Arabidopsis thaliana: one gene and its partner. The protein of the gene in region 1 purifies or fractionates together with the protein of each later gene. This does not show direct contact. Each region holds a gene or a part of one and is shown on either strand. Other genes may lie near its edges.

Evidence for each region.
Region 2: the proteins of CLV2 (region 1) and CPI1 purify together in Arabidopsis thaliana (affinity purification with western blotting, with the first as the bait; one study listed by BioGRID). This does not show direct contact.

The regions. Positions count from the first base shown.
Region 1 is NC_003070.9:24,283,520-24,292,568, reverse strand, and holds CLV2 (Leucine-rich repeat (LRR) family protein), read right to left. Parts: upstream 5,828-9,049; 5' UTR 5,627-5,827; coding exon 3,464-5,626; 3' UTR 3,240-3,463; downstream 1-3,239. Other genes in the region: PP2-A5 (phloem protein 2 A5), read right to left, coding at 1-3; AT1G65370 (TRAF-like family protein), read left to right, coding at 6,870-6,975, 7,072-7,339, 7,423-7,586, 7,717-7,862. UniProt on the Arabidopsis thaliana protein: Involved in the perception of CLV3 and CLV3-like (CLE) peptides, that act as extracellular signals regulating meristems maintenance. Required for the sensing of the root CLE peptides (e.g.
Region 2 is NC_003076.8:20,507,085-20,516,337, forward strand, and holds CPI1 (cyclopropyl isomerase), read left to right. Parts: upstream 1-4,582; 5' UTR 4,583-4,771; coding exon 4,772-4,778; intron 4,779-4,863; coding exon 4,864-4,994; exon of another isoform or gene 4,995-5,244; coding exon 5,245-5,328; intron 5,329-5,479; coding exon 5,480-5,521; intron 5,522-5,671; coding exon 5,672-5,782; intron 5,783-5,870; coding exon 5,871-6,062; intron 6,063-6,265; coding exon 6,266-6,363; intron 6,364-6,669; coding exon 6,670-6,742; coding exon of another isoform or gene 6,743-6,847; exon of another isoform or gene 6,848-6,880; coding exon 6,881-6,997; 3' UTR 6,998-7,165; downstream 7,166-9,253. Other genes in the region: AT5G50365 (uncharacterized protein), read left to right, coding at 1,077-1,478, 1,687-1,692; AT5G50370 (Adenylate kinase family protein), read right to left, coding at 2,298-2,399, 2,475-2,564, 2,662-2,829, 2,917-3,182, 3,427-3,547. UniProt on the Arabidopsis thaliana protein: Converts pentacyclic cyclopropyl sterols to tetracyclic sterols.

The DNA of each region.
Region 1 (9,049 bases):
CATAATCAGAGAGCTTATTTCTTAGAAACAAAAGATGTTTGATATATTCTTCTTTGAATTTGCTAAGGTGTTTATCTTCTTGGTTGGGATTGCAAACATGTCCTTCTTTTGTGAGATATATAGAGTTCATTAATCGTCGTTATTATTATAATAATTATTCTAAAAGATCATTTTTGTTGTTTTGCTTGAAACTTTAGGTGGCCAAAAATGAAAGTTGCATAAGAAGACAGAATTATAGTGGACAACTTGCTCTCTTTTTTGGGGTCAAAGATTTAGACTTAAGAGTTGACAACGTGTTTCCCCACTCGAACACTAGTCGACTTCTTCGCTGACTAAATCTTTACAAAACGAGTAAGGTCTGACTTCTTTTTTTCCTTTTGGTTTTTAGAGTTAAGAGCTGACTTCTTCTTCTTTGCCTCGGCCAACCTATCTAGGGACCGTTTCATCATGTTAGTTTCAAGAACGATTTTAGATCCATAGACGGATTGATTTAGATGGTCTATAAAGAACTGAATCATGAGAAAGTAGGACTATCCGAGATATTAACTTGGCGTTTTGAACTAGTACGTTAATTTTTTTCAATCCAAAATTAAATTGTTTTCTAATTTAATAAAAATCGATTTATTTACTTCTTTTTTATTATTTTTTTTTCCTTTTAAAATCATTCCATTATATCGAAATTAAAGTGTTAAAGTTATACAAGACTACAGAACCAAAATTATTACACAAGCAGATATGTGAGCCATTTTCTGAAAAAAATACGAAAAATAAGATTCACGATGCGTTTTGGACGAAAACGCCTTATTCGCTAACGAAAACACATATTCGTGATATTTCTTCGACTTTTTTGCTCCAATACGATTTTTTTGCCTTTTTTCTTGAGGCTGTTTCATAATCGTATTAGTAAAACCCATTACGCCTGATATTAGTCTTGGAAGCACGACTATCTGATGCCAATTAGTCCGCATCAATGTCCTTGAAACTATCATAAACCTTAACCTGACTTCAATATAAACCAGTAGCACTATCTTCTCCACATTGTGAATTCTCCTTCTGAACATTCCTATAAAAATATGGCCATCTTCTTTCATCCATGCAAAGAGAACCAGAGAATACTTGAATTTGGGACCAAACATTATTAGTAAGTTCTCTTTGCATGTTCGAACATGCATGGATGAAATATGACCTTTGGTTCGTTTTTTGAAGTGGAACTTATCGAGTATTAATTTACAGAGGTTTAGTATAGAAAAATCTATTTATATTCCATTGTAAAAATAATTTGAGATAAGTGAAAAGTAATCATTTTAATTTTTTCAAACATATTTGGGAAAGTAGTCATATTACTATTTACAATTTGCAAAGTAGTCATTTTTAAGTGTTTGATTTATACACCTGGATTGCAAAGTGACTAGTTTTCCAAGAAACCCTAATAATAATTAAAAATTTCTTAATGGATTTGTTCACTATATATAACTGTCCCTCCATAGACCATGCATAATCCTCCACCCTTTTGCAAGTTCTCTATCTAGTTGGAGAGACCAAAGATGAATGTGAAAAAGGCTATGAAGAAGCAAAACGACGTCGCGATGATCCTTGGGAGGCACGTCTTATCTTCTGAGTCGGAATCTAACGTCATCTTCTCGCCGGCGTCAATAAACTCTGCGATCACCATGCACGCCGCTGGTTCCGGAGGTGGCTTAGTCGCCGGTGAAATCCTCTCCTTCCTCAGATCTTCTTCAATCGATGAGCTCAAATCCGTCTTCCGAGAACTATCATCCATCGTCTACGCCGACAGCAGCGCTAGTGGCGGCCCAAAGATGAGGGCGGTGAATGGCCTCTGGATTGAGAAATCACTACCGATTGATCCCAAATACAAGGCTCTCTTCGAGAACTTCTTCAAGGCTGTTTACGTTCCCGTAGATTTCCGATCAAAGGTAATTTTCCACTTTAACAGCAAAAAAGAAACTAGGGTTTCGAAGAAATATAATTAGGGTTTTGCAGAAACGTTATTTGGTGTTTCTAGATGAAGTGTGTAATAGCTGTTTGACTTAAAGAACATACTCAACCAGTCAAATTGGAAACCTAATAGTTCGTAATGTATGTTGATTCCCAAATCATAATTCGAATTAGGAGACTGTTTTCAAAAATCATCCAATATGTGTTTTTTTTGTTTGAAGGCTGAAGAAGTGCGTAAGGAGGTGAATTCATGGGTTGAAGATCACACCAATAATCTCATCAAAGATCTTCTTCCTCGTGAATCTGTGACAAGCCGAACCAACAAGATTTACGCAAACGCATTGTATTTCAAGGGAGCTTGGAAGAGACCATTTGAAAAGTACTATACAAAAGACAGAGACTTCCACATGGTCAATGGCACTACAGTCTCTGTGCCATTCATGACCAGCTACGAGACACAAAAAGTAAGAGCTTATAACGGTTTCAAGGTCCTTACCGACGAGGCCGTGATGATACCAACCGCAAATTCTCAATGTATTTCTATCTCCCTGACAAGAAAGATGGATTGGATTATCTCTTGAAGAAAATAGCATCTACACCTGGATTCTTGGATAGTCACATTCCGAGATACAAAGTTGAACTTGAGGAATTTAGAATTCCAAAGTTTAAGATCGAATTCGGTTTTTCTGCTACAAGCGTTTTGAATCAAGTGGGAGTACTGCATTCAGTGTCAATGTACCATAAAGCTTGTGTCGAGATCGATGAAGAAGGTGCTGAAGCTGCGGCTGCAACTGCTGATGTAGAAGATGACGGTTGTGCTCTTGATATGGGGCCACCTCCTAAGAAGATAGATTTTGTGGCTGATCATCCATTTATTTTCCTTATCCGAGAAGACAAAACCGGGACCGTTTTGTTCTTTGGTCAGCTCTTCAAACCTTCGGAATTCTTGTTCTGACTCAGATAAGTATTAACCTGGTTATGGTTTAGTGAATGGTTTTGGCAAAGTTATCACAGGTTCTCCGAAACCATATTTCAGTTGAAACCGAGATTGTTAGAAATTAAATTGGTTCTAGCTAGTTAGATCTGTTACTAAACTTTAATTGATCTCCATATCTCTGTTTTTTTCTATTCATTTCGTTCGGTTTGATTTTCGATTATCATTTTTTGTACTCGTGGATTATACATTTAAACACCCAAATTGTATGTTCCTGATCATTACCCACCATTTCCTGTCCTAATCTCCGAAATGAACACCACTACTCACTGACTCGAGTTTCGATGTGTTTAGATAGATAGTACTAGATTATTGAGTCTAATCACTTCTTGAATCACAAACAGAACAAGAACCCAATACGGTTCATGTAAAGGTTAACCGGTCAAACTATATACACAAGTAACAACATTTGGGAGAGACTTTAGTTAAAAGCGAGCATTTCCACTTCACAGCTCAGACCAACAACATACATGCATGTGTTACAACTGAATATACATCAATCAGTCTCTGGAGTTAAGCTTTGGTCTGAAGAATATAACTACGAGCACGAGCTGAGCAAAAGATACCTAACACTCCAAAATCGAAGCTAATAAACGCACTTAAGCAGAATATCCAAATAGATATCGGTCCTTCCACCAATTCGTTTTGATATATTTCCTCTTGTGATGCATCAATGTTTGCCGGGTCACACTTGCTTCCGGGAGTTTCCACACACAGTTCCGGATTTCCGGCCAACGCCCCTGGAAACTTCCCGAGCCCTTCTTTCTCGGTAATGATACCAGAGAAACAGTTGTGCGATAGGTTCAGTAGGGTTAGTCCTGGAGGAGCTGAGATGTTTCCAATGACTTGACCTGACAGAGAGTTGTGTGAAAGATCTAAGGCCTTTAACCTTGGCAGCTTCTCTAGACGTGGAAGCTGACCTTCAAGGAAGTTGTAGGACAAGTTCAAGTACTCAATATTCTTCTGTCTGAACAAAGCTTCTGGGATCTCTCCATGTAATAGATTGTCAGAAAGATCGATCCCAACCATAGACAATAGATTGTAGCTGAAACTTAATTCATCTTTAGCAACAACAGCTGCTGATATTTTGATCTCTACTTTTCCTGGTGGCTCAGCAAATCCTTCACCTCCACCGGTCTGAAAATCTTTGAAGCGTGTGCTGTTTAAGTTATCGTCTGGTATGAACCAAGAGAATCTGTTGCTGGAGTAGTCAATCATTTGGATTTTGTCAAACTTGAACAACCAAGAAGGAAGTGTTCCACTAAACTTGTTCCGGGCAAGAGAAAGATACTTGAGGTTGGACCATTTGGTAATGGCTTCATTAAGGTTCCCCGAGAGGTTGTTGGAACTTATATCCACAATCTCTAGAGACTTCAGACCAGCTAAAGTAAGCGGGATCTCACCGGATATATGGTTGTTGCTTATGTCCAGTATCTTTAGACTATCCAACGCATCAAGCTCGGGTTGTATTTCGCCAGAGAGATTGTTGTTACTTATCATCAGAGCAAGTAACTGAAAGCAACCAACAATGTTGAGAGGTATTGAGCCGGTTAACGCGTTGTGGGAAAGATCAATGACCTGGAGATATGTCAGATTACCAATTCTAGCAGGAATATCTCCAGTTAAAAGATTGTGAGAGAGACGCAATGCTTGTAAACTCTTCAACTCTGTGATCCTCAACGGTATATCACCAGAAAAGCTATTGTGAGAGAGGTCAAGAAGAACCAAACCCAATTTCTCAGTTGTTTCCGAGATTCTACTAGGAAGACGACCTGAAAACCCGTTGTGACTCAAGTCCAACATCACAAGCTTCTCTGAAAACATAAGCCTAGGAGATATCTCGTAGTTGAAGCCATTGAAAGATAGATTCAAATGACTCAGCTCTTTTAAAGAACCCAAACAAGAAGGTAATCCACCAACCAGAGAGTTCTCAGCTATATTCAGAATACTAAGAGACGGACGAGAGGCGTAGAAACAAGGTAGCGTACCGGAAAACTGATTTGAAGCAAGATTAAGAACCACCAATGGCTGCTGAAAATCTCTGAGTGTACCAGTCATGTTATTGCTCTCAAGATTCAAGTACTTGAGAGACTTCAAATACAGTAAACTCTCAGGTAGTTCTCCAACAAACGAGCAGAAACTAAAATCAACTCTCTCAAGATTCATTGAGAAATTACCAAACCAATGAGGGACCACACCGCCTAAATCTCTATTCTCACTTAGAACAACTTCTCTAAGCTCCTTAAGACTTACAAATGTGGCGGGTATCGAACCAACGAATCTATTCCGACTAAGATTAAGTGTCCTAAGATTACGCAACGAACCGAAGCAAGAAGGAATGTTTCCAGAGAAGTTGTTGTGAGAAAGGTCCAAGCTTTGAAGAGAAGAGAGCTTACAAAGAGATGGGTGAATCTGACTGGAGAGATTCAGACCGGATAAAGTGAGGGAGAGAACTTTTCCGGTCGGATTCTGACAAGCTAGACCTGTCCAGTTAGAACACGATGAGCCGTACCATGTCGATAAGCTTCGATTTAGGTCGTGAATCGAAACTCTGAATATCAATAAAGAAGCTTTGTCTTGTGGGTCGAGATCGGGAAGCTGAGATTGAGCTAGAGGCAACGAGGGAGAGAAGACGAAGATAAAGAAGAAGAGAGTGAAATCTGCAATCTTTATCATAGCTCAGAGGAGAAAGATGAAGTTTTTAGGTATAGCGGCAGTTGAAGTAAATTAAGAAGGTTTCAGGGGTGAGTTGCAGAAATCGCAGAGACCTCTCTTTGCAATGGAGAGTGAAGCAACGCGACCTGGAAGTGGAAGTGGAAGATAAAGACAGAGAGAACATTCTCTTTCGGTTCCTTTTGTTTTAGCCTTTCAGACCCAAGAAGTGATTAATTAATGCAAAATTCCAAAAATCTACACTTATTTCTAGGAAAAACAAAATACAAAGGGTTTGATTCAGTACGTAATCCGTATTGTTAATTACTAATTTTATAGGTATTTATAAAAAAATCATATATTTTACTAAGAAATTTTAAATTTAGTCTCAAATCTTATGTTATTGAACCTAGAATTTACTTAAAATCATTTCAAAATAATATGATTCTTTTTTTTTGGATAAAGTTACCATTCATTCTTGTAACGTTTACTATAAAAAAAAAAAACAGCATATGATTCCACTATGAAGAAAAATTCCAAATTTACCGGCTCAAAGAAGAAAGAGTGTAAAAGAAAAATCGAAACCAAATGTACAATTTCACTATAAGTCATACGATTTCAACTCGAGTAAAGAGCTTCAAGTTTGCATAGTCTCAAAAAATAACATGTTCGAAGATGTCGAAAATGTCCATGAAACCAACAATTTAAAACAAAACCAGGCCAGCTTTGTAGCTTTAGGCCCATTCTAACACATTAATTTATGTTTTGTGCAACTCTAAAACTTTCTCTATATAAATGGTATCTAAACCCTAGATCTAATAGTAAGTGCCGAAGAAATCTCTCAAGTCTCTCTCGTTGTCTCAGGTTGGTCAGTTCTTTCTCTAGATTTCAACTTGTTTAGTCTTTTAAGAGGAAAAAGCATAAAGCTTTCTGTGTCATTTTTAATATCTGAGAATTCTAAAAAAAATGTTCTCTTGTGTATTGTAACTCGATTTTCGTCAGATCATTTCTGATTATGGGTATGTTTTGTTTTGCTCTCTAGGGTTGCAACATTTTGTAGAGAAAATGGGTTCATATGCATCAGATTCTGCAATGTTGAAGACTTGGAGAAAGACTCCTCCTTCGTCTTGTTCTCTTGTCAGACTTTCACATCTTTCTTCACTACAAGCATATATAACTAAGAAATGTTGCCTTTTTTGTAAAAATCAGGAGATTGGTTGTTTACCCAAAAGGAAACGAAGAGGACAATGGAAAGGGCTTTGTGTCTATGTATGTGGAATGTCTCTCATCCACAACACCACCCATTGATGTGTTTGATTATCTCTCTTTCTTTGTCTTTAACAAGAAAGACAACAAGTACCTCTCAATCCAAGGTTCGTATGCTCAAATCCTTATTATCTCTCTTTTTCTCTCGTATGTATATATGAATGAATGAATCGTAATGTGTGTGTATACGTGTAAACATGTAGATGTTGAAGTTAAGCGTTTCAGTTCTTCTAAAACGGTTTGGGGATTGCCAAAAGCTATGTCGCTTGAAACATTCACTGACCCTGCAAAGGGATTTATCGTGGAAGGAGAACCATGTGAGTTTGGTGCTCATGTGAAGATTGCTTCATCACCCGTCCCTGTTGATGAGAATCTCCCTTTTCACAAATTCTCTTGGAGCATTCGTGATTTCTCTGTTCTGAAACAGAATGATTGCATATCTAAAACCTTTGCAATGGGAGGAAAGAATTGGTGAGTTTTTTCCTTCTGATAGATATTGTTGTATGAGTGTATTAGTGGTAACTTGCTAACAAGTGGATGATAATGTTTTACAGGACTCTAACTGTGTATCCAAAGGGAGACTCTGAGGCAGATAACGAGTTCTGCAAGTACTTGCATTTAGCTGACGGTGAAGTCTTATCGCCTGGTGAGATGATTTCCGTGCGAGCACAACTAAGGGCTTTAGACCCGCGTGGATCCAAACACAAAACAGTCTGGCGTAAGTCAAAAACTATTGATATTACTATTTTCACAATGCTTATGTCTTGCCTTGATGGATGATACTGATGACATTTTCAATAAGCAAATGTCCCAACTCTTTTGACGACATTGATTCCTTGTTCTTGTAGTTCAACAATGGATCATGGCAGCGACCAAAGCGAGGGGTATTCCTCAATCCTTGTCTTTAGCTGATCTTCAGGAGGCTTACTTGGATGAAGATACTTTGAATGTGGAGATCGAATGTGAAGTTGTGAACTCTAGGAAAATGTTTTAAGCGTAGAAGAGAATGTGAAGTTGTTTCCACCAAACACTCTATCTATATCTATTTAGCTATCATGCCATGTCTACTACTCTAGGACTATTTGTGTTAAGCGTAGAACTGAATGTGAAGTTGTTTCCACCAAACGCTCTATCTATATTTAGGAATATCTCTTTGTCCATCATGCATATCTGACTATTGTATGACTACTCTGTTTTATGTGTTTATTTAATGAACTTCTTAGTTATTAATTTTTGTTTGTGTATATCTCAAAATGTCTCAACACATTCCTCTAGCTCTTTGAAGTTGCAGAAACTAGGGACCTTCACTGCTTAACTTATCTATTCACTCTTTAGGCCATCAATGGACCAGCTTCATAAAACAGAATCTCTGGCCACAACCTGCATACCAGAAATCTGAGACTATAAACAGAGAAGAGATACATAAGAAAAATAGCACAAACACTTATAGCGGCTGGTTGCAACAATACGGCATCCTTAACGAATGTCGAGCCAAGTGTGGTGGGATGCAAGTCAAGTTGTGGCGCAAAAAACCTTATAGCTTCAGATTATTACTTTGCAAGAATCAATTGCTATAACAAGGCAGCGCTGACGAATCGGATACTCCACGCTTGTGTTCTATTCAGGTCAACAAGTTGCAATGCTATTGGATGCTGCAGCCTGCAAGGCAAGCATGCCTTATGGGGTTCAACGTGTTGACTGTTGGTGTCAAAATAGAAGATAGTAACACAAGTTACACAACAACTAAAGGGTGCAAATTTGCTTTCTTAACAGACGAACCGTATGATATGTTGGGTAGATACAGTCCACAACAGATCCATGCTCTACGATATTCTCACGTTGAGCTAGGATGGTTTATTCACACTACGGATCTTTCGTTTATAGACTCTTTGGGATGCCAGAATTTAACAGAGTACAATAAGAAGGAATTTATTGATCCATGTATGTGATTATAATGTGAATTTAAGATATGCAAGTTGTGCATGCAATAGCGGTTACAACGGCAACCCATACGTCGGATGCCAAGGTCAGTAATTGTATTTAAAGTTTTCTTCTTATTTTTAGATCTCAAAATCAGTTAAATACCGATGTTATTAATTGTCAATTAAATACGGATGTCATTATAACTAGGTCATATAAATACCGAGGTTAACATCTAAATAAAATGACGTTAAAGGCCGT
Region 2 (9,253 bases), on another chromosome or scaffold:
TTTCAATCACTATTATTTCAGTACGATTCAATAGTTGTCCACATAACCTATTTATAATCCAACTCAATGTAATTCTAGAAGAAGATACTTTTAGCATGTATATAATTGGTGGAAAATATAAGTAGTATAAAATATGCATATCTACTATTTTTTCAATGTTCCGGATTTCGGTGAGTTATAACAAGACTGTAACCTCATAAAAGTTTATAGACCATGAATATAGAACACAGTGCAGAATGGAAATGTTATAACCGGCCGAAGTTAAATTTTCCATTATAATTATTTATTTTGTGTAATTATTGATTAAAATAAGAAAATGAGTAACTACTATTATGACGGTCCAAATTCTAACAGAGAAATTATGAATGCCATGTCAGATAAATGCACAAAATATGTTGTGGTTAAACAATTGCAATGTGGTCATAATTTTTATTTTTTATTCAATTTTTTTACAAAAAATTTGTTAAAAAATAAGAACATTTTACTGCTTATAAGAATGTTTTGATAATTATTTAACCAACCATTTTTCTTGTAAATACTTTATATTTTATTAAGATTCACTTTTATGGTTTGTAAAATATTTTTATAGTTTTGAAATAATAAACTTGTAAATTCATAAAATTATAGTTTAACTTTAGTTTTCTGATTCTTAAATATTGAACAATAACTAATAATATTACCAATTCATAGTTCCAGTGCCAACTCTTTAAGATAAATTAAATTGCATATATATATTGCATTATGGACTGAATGTGTGTATATGTAACTATGAAGTATATGAACATGACGATGCCAACTCTTTAAGATAATTTAAATTTGATTGTTCATTGGAATCCAAATTCTTGAAATTTGACAACTTTAATCTTAAATTCATCAAAATAAGATAATTAAACCCGTATTTTTTAAAACTACAAGAAATAATTAAAAAAGAAAGAAAGAAATGTTGATGCATATTTTATTGAACACTAGCACACTAATAAAACGCTCCTGTTTTTATTGTAGCTAGAACTTTGGTTGGATTATGATTTACACTAGATTTGCTTTAAAAAAAAAAGAAATTCAAGACATATTTTTTTATGGATTTAAAGTTTTTTTTTTTGCTAGTTCTCATTGGAGGAATTGGAACATTCTTAGGTAACATTCCTAAAACCAGACGTTGTGATGGTCACCATAAATTCATATTTGCGTTGTGTGCAACCGGTGGTTCTTTGGTACTAGGTCCTGAGGGTGGAACAAACCATCTCCTAACTAGTGGTTCTTTGGTACTAGGACCTGAAGGTGGAACGAACCATCTTGTACCCGGTGATTCTTTGGTACTAGGTCCTGAAGGGGGAACGAGCCATCTTGTGACGCGTATTGGATCAACTGATTTTTTAAGCAAACTTTCGGACTGTCGAAAATCTTCAGATTCATGTAAGAGGCTCTTCTTGTTGGCTTCAAGAACACCAACAAAGAGGAGAACAAACAATGCTATCACAGTAAAAAAATTTGATTTCGTCATTACAAGATACTTTTACAAATTGTTAGAACTATTGACTATGTTTAAGTTTTATAACATTGTCATAAATCTTATCTTATCATCTTAGAACTAAAGAATAAGATTTAATATTTTCTAATATGGAATGTGTTCTAAGTATGGTACACTGAAGATATTTTCCCGAAAATATTCTTTTTAATATATAGTAGATTTGACTGAAAAAATATAGGCAAAAACTATTATTTAAATAAATAATAAGAATACAATTCAACATTTTATACCCCAAACATTTTCAAAATTTATCTTACCATCCAAGTTCATTGAAGCTCAAATTGTAATGATGATATCTTTATTCAAATATATGAATTACTTGTATTTTATTCCTTTTTTTGTTATCCAAAATAAATCTATAAATCTGAAAAACTTGAATTTCACTAACTATGGTTTCATATCGCTTATCTCATTGTGATGATGAGATGATCTATATACAATTCCGTTGGAATCTGTTGGATTCCTGCTCTACCAATTCTTACAGTTGATCACCAATTCTTTATAAGCTACCATTTTGTTTTCAATGTTATGCGATTCTAATGTTTTCAATCTTCCACTATTTTACTACGATTTTGTTTTTCCTTTATTCACCTGACATTTCCAGTCGCAAACAATAAGCCTTAGTGAAACACACTGCACAAAACTGCAGCAAATGTTGCTCTCAAGACAAAAGACATTCCGGGGGAAACAAATAAAAAAACTCAGGAGAGTTATTTAAGATAAGCAAAAAAAGATACATCTTAAACTGATGCCATTTCGTTTTTCAGTTTCATGTAGACACAACCTTCTTCACCACTTTTGTAACCTCTTCCGGGGCCTTCTCTGCCGGTATGTTCACCAGATTCTCCTTCTTCGCATAATAGTCAATTACCTGCAACAACAACAACAAGAACAAATGTCAAATTCTCTGATAGTCCTCAAGTTCATGTACTATAAGGAAACATACCGGTTGCGTCTGCTTGTGGAATGCATCTAGCCTTGATCTAAGAACATCCGCATTGTCATCTTTACGTTGAATCAATGGCTCTCCAGTCAGCTAACAAACAACGAAGTTGATACAGAGATCAAATCACAAGAGAGAACTCGATTTACTAAGTCAAAATGATGAATCAGAATTTGATGGTTTTTCTTACATCATCGACTCCTGGAACTTTAGGAGGTGCGAATTTAGTATGATAGCTTCTTCCACTTGAAGGGTGAATCCACCTTCCAGTAATTCTTTCTTCGAGAACCGAATCATCGATCGCAAAATTAAGCACCTTATCTATCTGAGCTCCCCTTCTATTAAGCATCTCATCAAGCTACAAGATTTATAAACAAAAAAAGTCAGAACATTTACAAGAGCGAGCAGATACACAAACAACTAACCACAGAAAAGAACCAGAAACCTTCTCTGCTTGAGTCACAGTCCGCGGGAACCCATCAAGAATGAAACCTTTCTGACATTTGGGTCTGTTCATTGCTTCATCCATGATACCAACAACCAAGTCATCAGAAACAAGCTCTCCCTTATCCATTGCTTCCTTTGCCTTCACACCAAGAGGAGTCTTAGCAGCAACAGCAGCTCTAAGCATGTCACCAGTAGACAAATGACACAAACAAAACTCATCCTTTATGACCGGAGACTGTGTACCTTTCCCTGAACCAGGTGGACCTGCAAATTCCAAATCATACATGAACCAAAACTCAATTCTTCCTTTCTATTGAACCAAAAAACACAAATTCACAATCCCTTCGCTATGATCATCAGATAAAGCATTAACGATAACAGCAAAATGCAATTTTTACACACTAAAACAGATAAAAATCGGAACTTTCGCTACACAATTTTCACAGAGATCAAACCTAAAGTACCGATTGAGTGAAAGATTCAGAGGTAACGAAAGAGATGATTGTACCGATGAAAACGAGACGTTTGTCAGGTTTAGAGGCACATTTCATACGGCGAAGAAGCTCAGACATGAGATCAACAGTCTGAATATCTTCCATATCAACAGAAGCCGCACTGCTCGTTGCCATGTTCGTCGTCGTCGTCTCTTACAAGAGAATTAGATTTGGTCCGGTGGAGTTGTGTTCTCTTTTTGAAGTGCGTGTATTGGATTCGATGCTTCCAATGTTTTCTTTCACCGTTTTACGATTTTACCCTTAACTGTGCCAACAACTACAAAGGCCTGCCCTTCGAACAACAACAACCTGCCTGGGGTTGGTGACACACCCAACTCTGAAAACGAGTCTTTCTTCTTACACATCTAATATCGCACATTTTTCATAATTACATAAAATCAAATATCATATAATACTTCCAACAAACCATTATGTTTTAGGTCAAGTGAACCAAAAAAAGCGGACTAGAAAACATAGAATAAGTAGAGTCTAACACATTTTTTCGGTTTTAAGGCACGATGGACCGGTCATTTGTCCAATTAACACTAGTGTTAAGAAACTTAATTTGATATTAAGTACTGAGGTTGAAGATTTTGCTAGTTTATGGTAGACTTATGAATATCAGTATACCACTAGACCACATTCACTTTTCGTCAATAAGACAATTAAACTCTTGAAAACCCACATTTTTCTTTTTTTTTTTTGAAAGCCAAACTCCATCAATGTTTGGTTATTAAAGATATGAATGAATACTACATCATTAGTTTCTTTCTTGATAATTTTTGTATATTTATTTATTAATAAGTTTTTGTATTTTTCTAAATTCTTAACATTAATAAAAGAGTTTTCCAAAAAATGCAAAATAATACTATAAAATTCAAAATAGTACATAATATAAGCTTTTTTTTTTCCAACTTTACATATATTGTAAACGTTTTTACGATCACATACATCTGCTTTTTGAAAATTCTAAAAATATAAATAAACTCTTTACCTCAAAAGTTTCAATTTGCTATATACATTTTTTTAAAATCAAATTTAACAATAAAAAATAAAATTAGATTACATATTATTTTAGAATTAAATTAACATAGGCCCACTTCTTATGTTGGGAAAAGGGAACAACAAATATAACAATTTAGCAACAAAGAAGTAGAAAAAAGAGGTGATGTCATAATAAACGGTAAAATAATAGGAACGATGAGCGAGCGGATCTAGCTTTCGTCAAAATCATCATCACTGAGTACATCTGCCACGTCAGCTTGATTGGGATCTATTTGGTCGCCCGTACACAAAATCTCGGCTCACTCACTCACACTACTCAAGTCAACGTTTCTAAGATTCTCCGGCGGAGCGATTATGTCAGGTAAAACTATCGCCGATCTCTTCTTCTTCTTCTGATTCGAATCTCTCGTCCCCATTCCCTGATTTTTTTGATTTACATTTGATAGGATCTTCTTCACCGAGCTTGTGGCTGGCACCGAATCCGAGCAAGAGATGGGGAGAGCTCTTCTTCCTCTTCTACACTCCTTTTTGGCTCACTCTCTGTTTAGGCATCGTTGTTCCTTACAAGCTTTACGAGGTCTATGCGATCATCAAATGAGCATTGTTTTTAAGTGTCTGATGTATTTAGGAGACGATGAGACAGAGTTGAAGTAGCTATTCACTTTTTTTTATCTGCTAAATTAGATCAACAAAGTTTATGAAATGATGTCTCATTGTTTACCATGTCAGTGTTTTAGAGATCTGAAAATTTTACTGTTGTATGAAGTTGTCTTTTAAGTGGTATTGAAGAAGTACTAATAAGTGTTAGTTACTTTGCAAACTAGCAGACATTCACGGAGTTGGAGTATCTGCTTCTAGCTTTGGTTTCAGCTGTTCCTGCTTTCGTTATACCCATGTTACTCGTTGGAAAGGTTACTTTTTGACAACTTTTGCTTTCACTGTGAGCTAACGTGTTCGTGGTGCTATACTTGTTTGTCTACTAGCTACTTGCTTCCAATTGAATGCAAATCTCTATTGTTTTCCTTACCATATGGACTCAGAATATATGCATTATTCTTTCAGGCCGACAGAAGTTTATGTTGGAAGGACCGCTATTGGGTTAAGGCAAGCTTTTTTTCTATGTGCATGACATTTTGGCTTGCCAGTTCTAGTTTCAAACTATTTTTAGAACTTGTTTTAACTTCCTTGAGTACTGGTGAGAGTTCTCAAGATCTCATCCATAGTTGTACTGATTGGAACATGTTTTTACCACAGGCAAATCTCTGGATAATTGTTTTCAGCTATGTCGGAAACTACTTTTGGACTCACTATTTCTTTAAAGTTCTTGGAGCGTCCTATACTTTTCCATCATGGAAAATGAATAATGTAAGCACAGCATTATCTCGGCAGATTTGTTCTATTGAGTAGTTTTCTTGTTTCCATGAGCTTATGGCAGGGGTTTTGTGTTGAACAGGTGCCTCACACAACATTCTTCCTAACACATGTTTGCTTCCTCTTTTACCACGTTGCATCGAACATTACTCTTCGGAGGCTACGCCATTCCACTGCTGATTTACCAGATTCTCTGAAATGGTGTTTTGAGGCTGCATGGATACTTGCGCTTTCTTATTTCATTGCATACTTGGAGACTATTGCTATCGCAAATGTACGTTGTGATGTCTACATTTCTTTGATAATTTCCTATAAAAAGAGCTCTCTACTTGGTGTTTTATCATATATCACAAATTCCTCTTATAGTCTGCTTAAAGACTACGTTTATCTACTTAATCATTCTAGAATCTTGTTTAGAAACTAGTCACTTGACAATAACCGCTCATATGTTCTGTTTTTGTTTTCAAACTTGTGCAGTTTCCTTACTATGAGTTTGTGGACCGAAGTGCCATGTACAGAGTTGGATGTCTTTTCTATGCCATTTACTTCATTGTGAGCTTCCCAATGTTCTTCAGGTAAAGAAAGCATAGTTTTCTATCATCTCATAGAAGCAGTGAATCTTTTCACCTTCATGACTGTTGCATATCAAAACTGAGACAAGTGATAGTTGTTAGATACACCGGATTAATTGATTGAATTTTCTTGAGAGTCTTAAAATATAGGAATTAAAGACTTAAATGGAGAACCAGGTCTTTCTCAAGTGTCTTGAGGAGTTCTTTGAACAGTCTCTGTGATATGCTTCCGTCTCACCTTCTTATTGCTATTTGATTACCTCGAGTTGTTGTCTATCTGTTTTCATATGTTTTATTCATTGTTTGCAGGATGGATGAGAAATCAACTGATGAATGGGATTTATCTCGAGTGGCTGTTGATGCTTTGGGTGCTGCTATGTTGGTAACAATCATTCTTGATCTATGGCGTCTCTTCTTGGGACCTATAGTTCCCTTACCGGAGGGACAAAACTGCCTTCAGTCTGGATTACCATGGTTCTCCAATTGAAGATTGAAAGATCGGTTACTTCCACCAATTCAGGGAATTGACATGGGACTGAGAGAGAAACCTGCAAAGGAATTTCCATTAACACTTTACGGAATTGGGAAGCAGTTAATGCAGGGCATGTTTCTAAGGCTTTTCTTCTCCAACTGCTGATTTGTTTGTTAGTTGTTTTTGGTTTTCAGTTTCTCTTGATGAACTTTCCCAATGTAACCTTTCAAGTTATCCTTTATAGAACAGAATGGAACTTCGTTTTTTGTTGTGGACTCGATATATTGGTTCGTCCTCTTAAGTTCATTAAAACAAGAAAGACCATAACACCATTGAAAGAACCAAAACTTGATATTAAATGGTAAAGTCTCATCACATGAAGTAGCTAAGGGCTTACTTTACTTCTGCAACCTCCCCCGTAGCATTTGTTCCATTGTTGTAGTCACTAACTTATATGGGACGACTGTTGCAGTGCATAACTGCAACCACAATCAGAACACTAATCTCTGGTCCAAGATCAACATTACCTGGTCCTGTGACCATCCATGATTCCTTGAACAAGTACACGTTCTCAGTTCTTTGTCCGTAGACCGGTTAGTAGTGGGAGATAGAACAAGACTGCTCTCCGTTTTTGTAATCTTTGCATCTGAGAATATTAAGGAGATACGACTACTAACCGTAAGAGTTTACTTGTTCATATATGTCATAGTTTTAATGTGGTTTGTAATGAGTCTTTGGAGTGTAAGAGTTTAAAAATGATTTAATATAAGATCTAAGTCTCATTCACATAAGATAACCCTGTTTCAAGATACAACAACAATTCTATTATAGGAGCATCCTTCAACTTTTAAATATAAAAAACATAAAACACTGAATCAGAATCATACTGATACTAACTCAGGTTTATTGTAGTTTCTTGAATAAAATCTGGAAAGAATAACAAAACATTACTGCCACAAGATCAGAAAATGAAACAACCCAAAAATATTTCAAGAGTGTTAAGTTGCCATTATTGTATCATCAAAATAGTACTGCCACTAATGCTTTATACCATCAATTAATGCATGACTGACCTCGTTTCTTCTAACCCAAGTATATGCTATTCACAGAACAAGAAAAATACTTCCCTGAATCCAGACTAAATCACACTAACTCATATATCAACACGAAGGAGAAGAGTATGGACCAAGAAAATTGAGAAATCCAAACTCCGATTAAGCCATTAAGGCAAAAAACCATCCATGCAAAGAGACATATAAATTCATAGGGAGAGAGACAAAAACACGTAGCAATAAAAAAGCAAATGAGTACAAAACAAAACAAAACAAAATAGAAGATTGTGCAATGTAACGCAAGGACTCATGAAGATCATCATACCTTTGCTTTGAGAATCAGGATGGACAACTTCAGACTTGTGTAACCCCTTCTTTTTCGTCAAGATTAATTACTTCTTTTCGAATTCAACGTGAATGTAAAAATCTCTAGAGATCAAATTTTAAAACATCAAGCAGTCTAAACATTAAACAACATCAGCTTAACACAGTTTAAACGCATTAACCACTTTATAAAATGTTGAAACTATTTTTGTAACCCACAATATTATAAAACGCATGTTTCTTGTTTTCTAAAGAAAATCTAAATTTTGAATTGATCAATTTTTTGTCCAAATCTTCTATGATTTCCTTAGGGAGAGCCACAACCTGATTCCAAGCCCAAGAAGAAGGATGCTCCACGTTTTAAAGTTAATCTTGGAAGCGAGCGACAATGCTTGGGATGGAATGTTAAAGGTAGCAGATGCATACTCTGTTATCATAGTCTATGTCAAAGTATGTGGATATGAATAGTTTCCATGGTCGTACTTGTCCAAGAAACTTGGATTTGTATTTTGTAGCTACTCGAACACAAAACTTGAAACCAAGAACATTTTTTTTGGTGCCAATAAAATAACACACTGGTCTAAGTGACATGTATGTTTTTATGAGATTTGCTCTCCAATGTGGCTCAACCTGTGTTTTCTTTGGGTATATACATACTGGATTTTTGGCCGAAGTCTTGGAAACAGATTATATCTGTGATTTGGAAAATGCGGAATCACCCACTATTATAAACTGAAATTTTCTTAACTTATCATTTCTATGCAACAAACACACTTTTACTATCAAATCTAAGTACAGAGATACGTTACAACAAGAAAGTAATATCATCCAGCTCCATATATATAGCAAAGACCATTTGATTCAAGAGCATAATCATTATATAAAACCCATGGTCATAACATGATAAGTATTAAGACATGTACATAAGAATTTTGACAGTGTATAAAAAGGGTGTAAGCCCGACTTTCACATATATAACTTAAACCCCTGACTTATATGTTACCTGGCCACTATCATCTTTCAAACAGACAAGATTGTCCTTCAA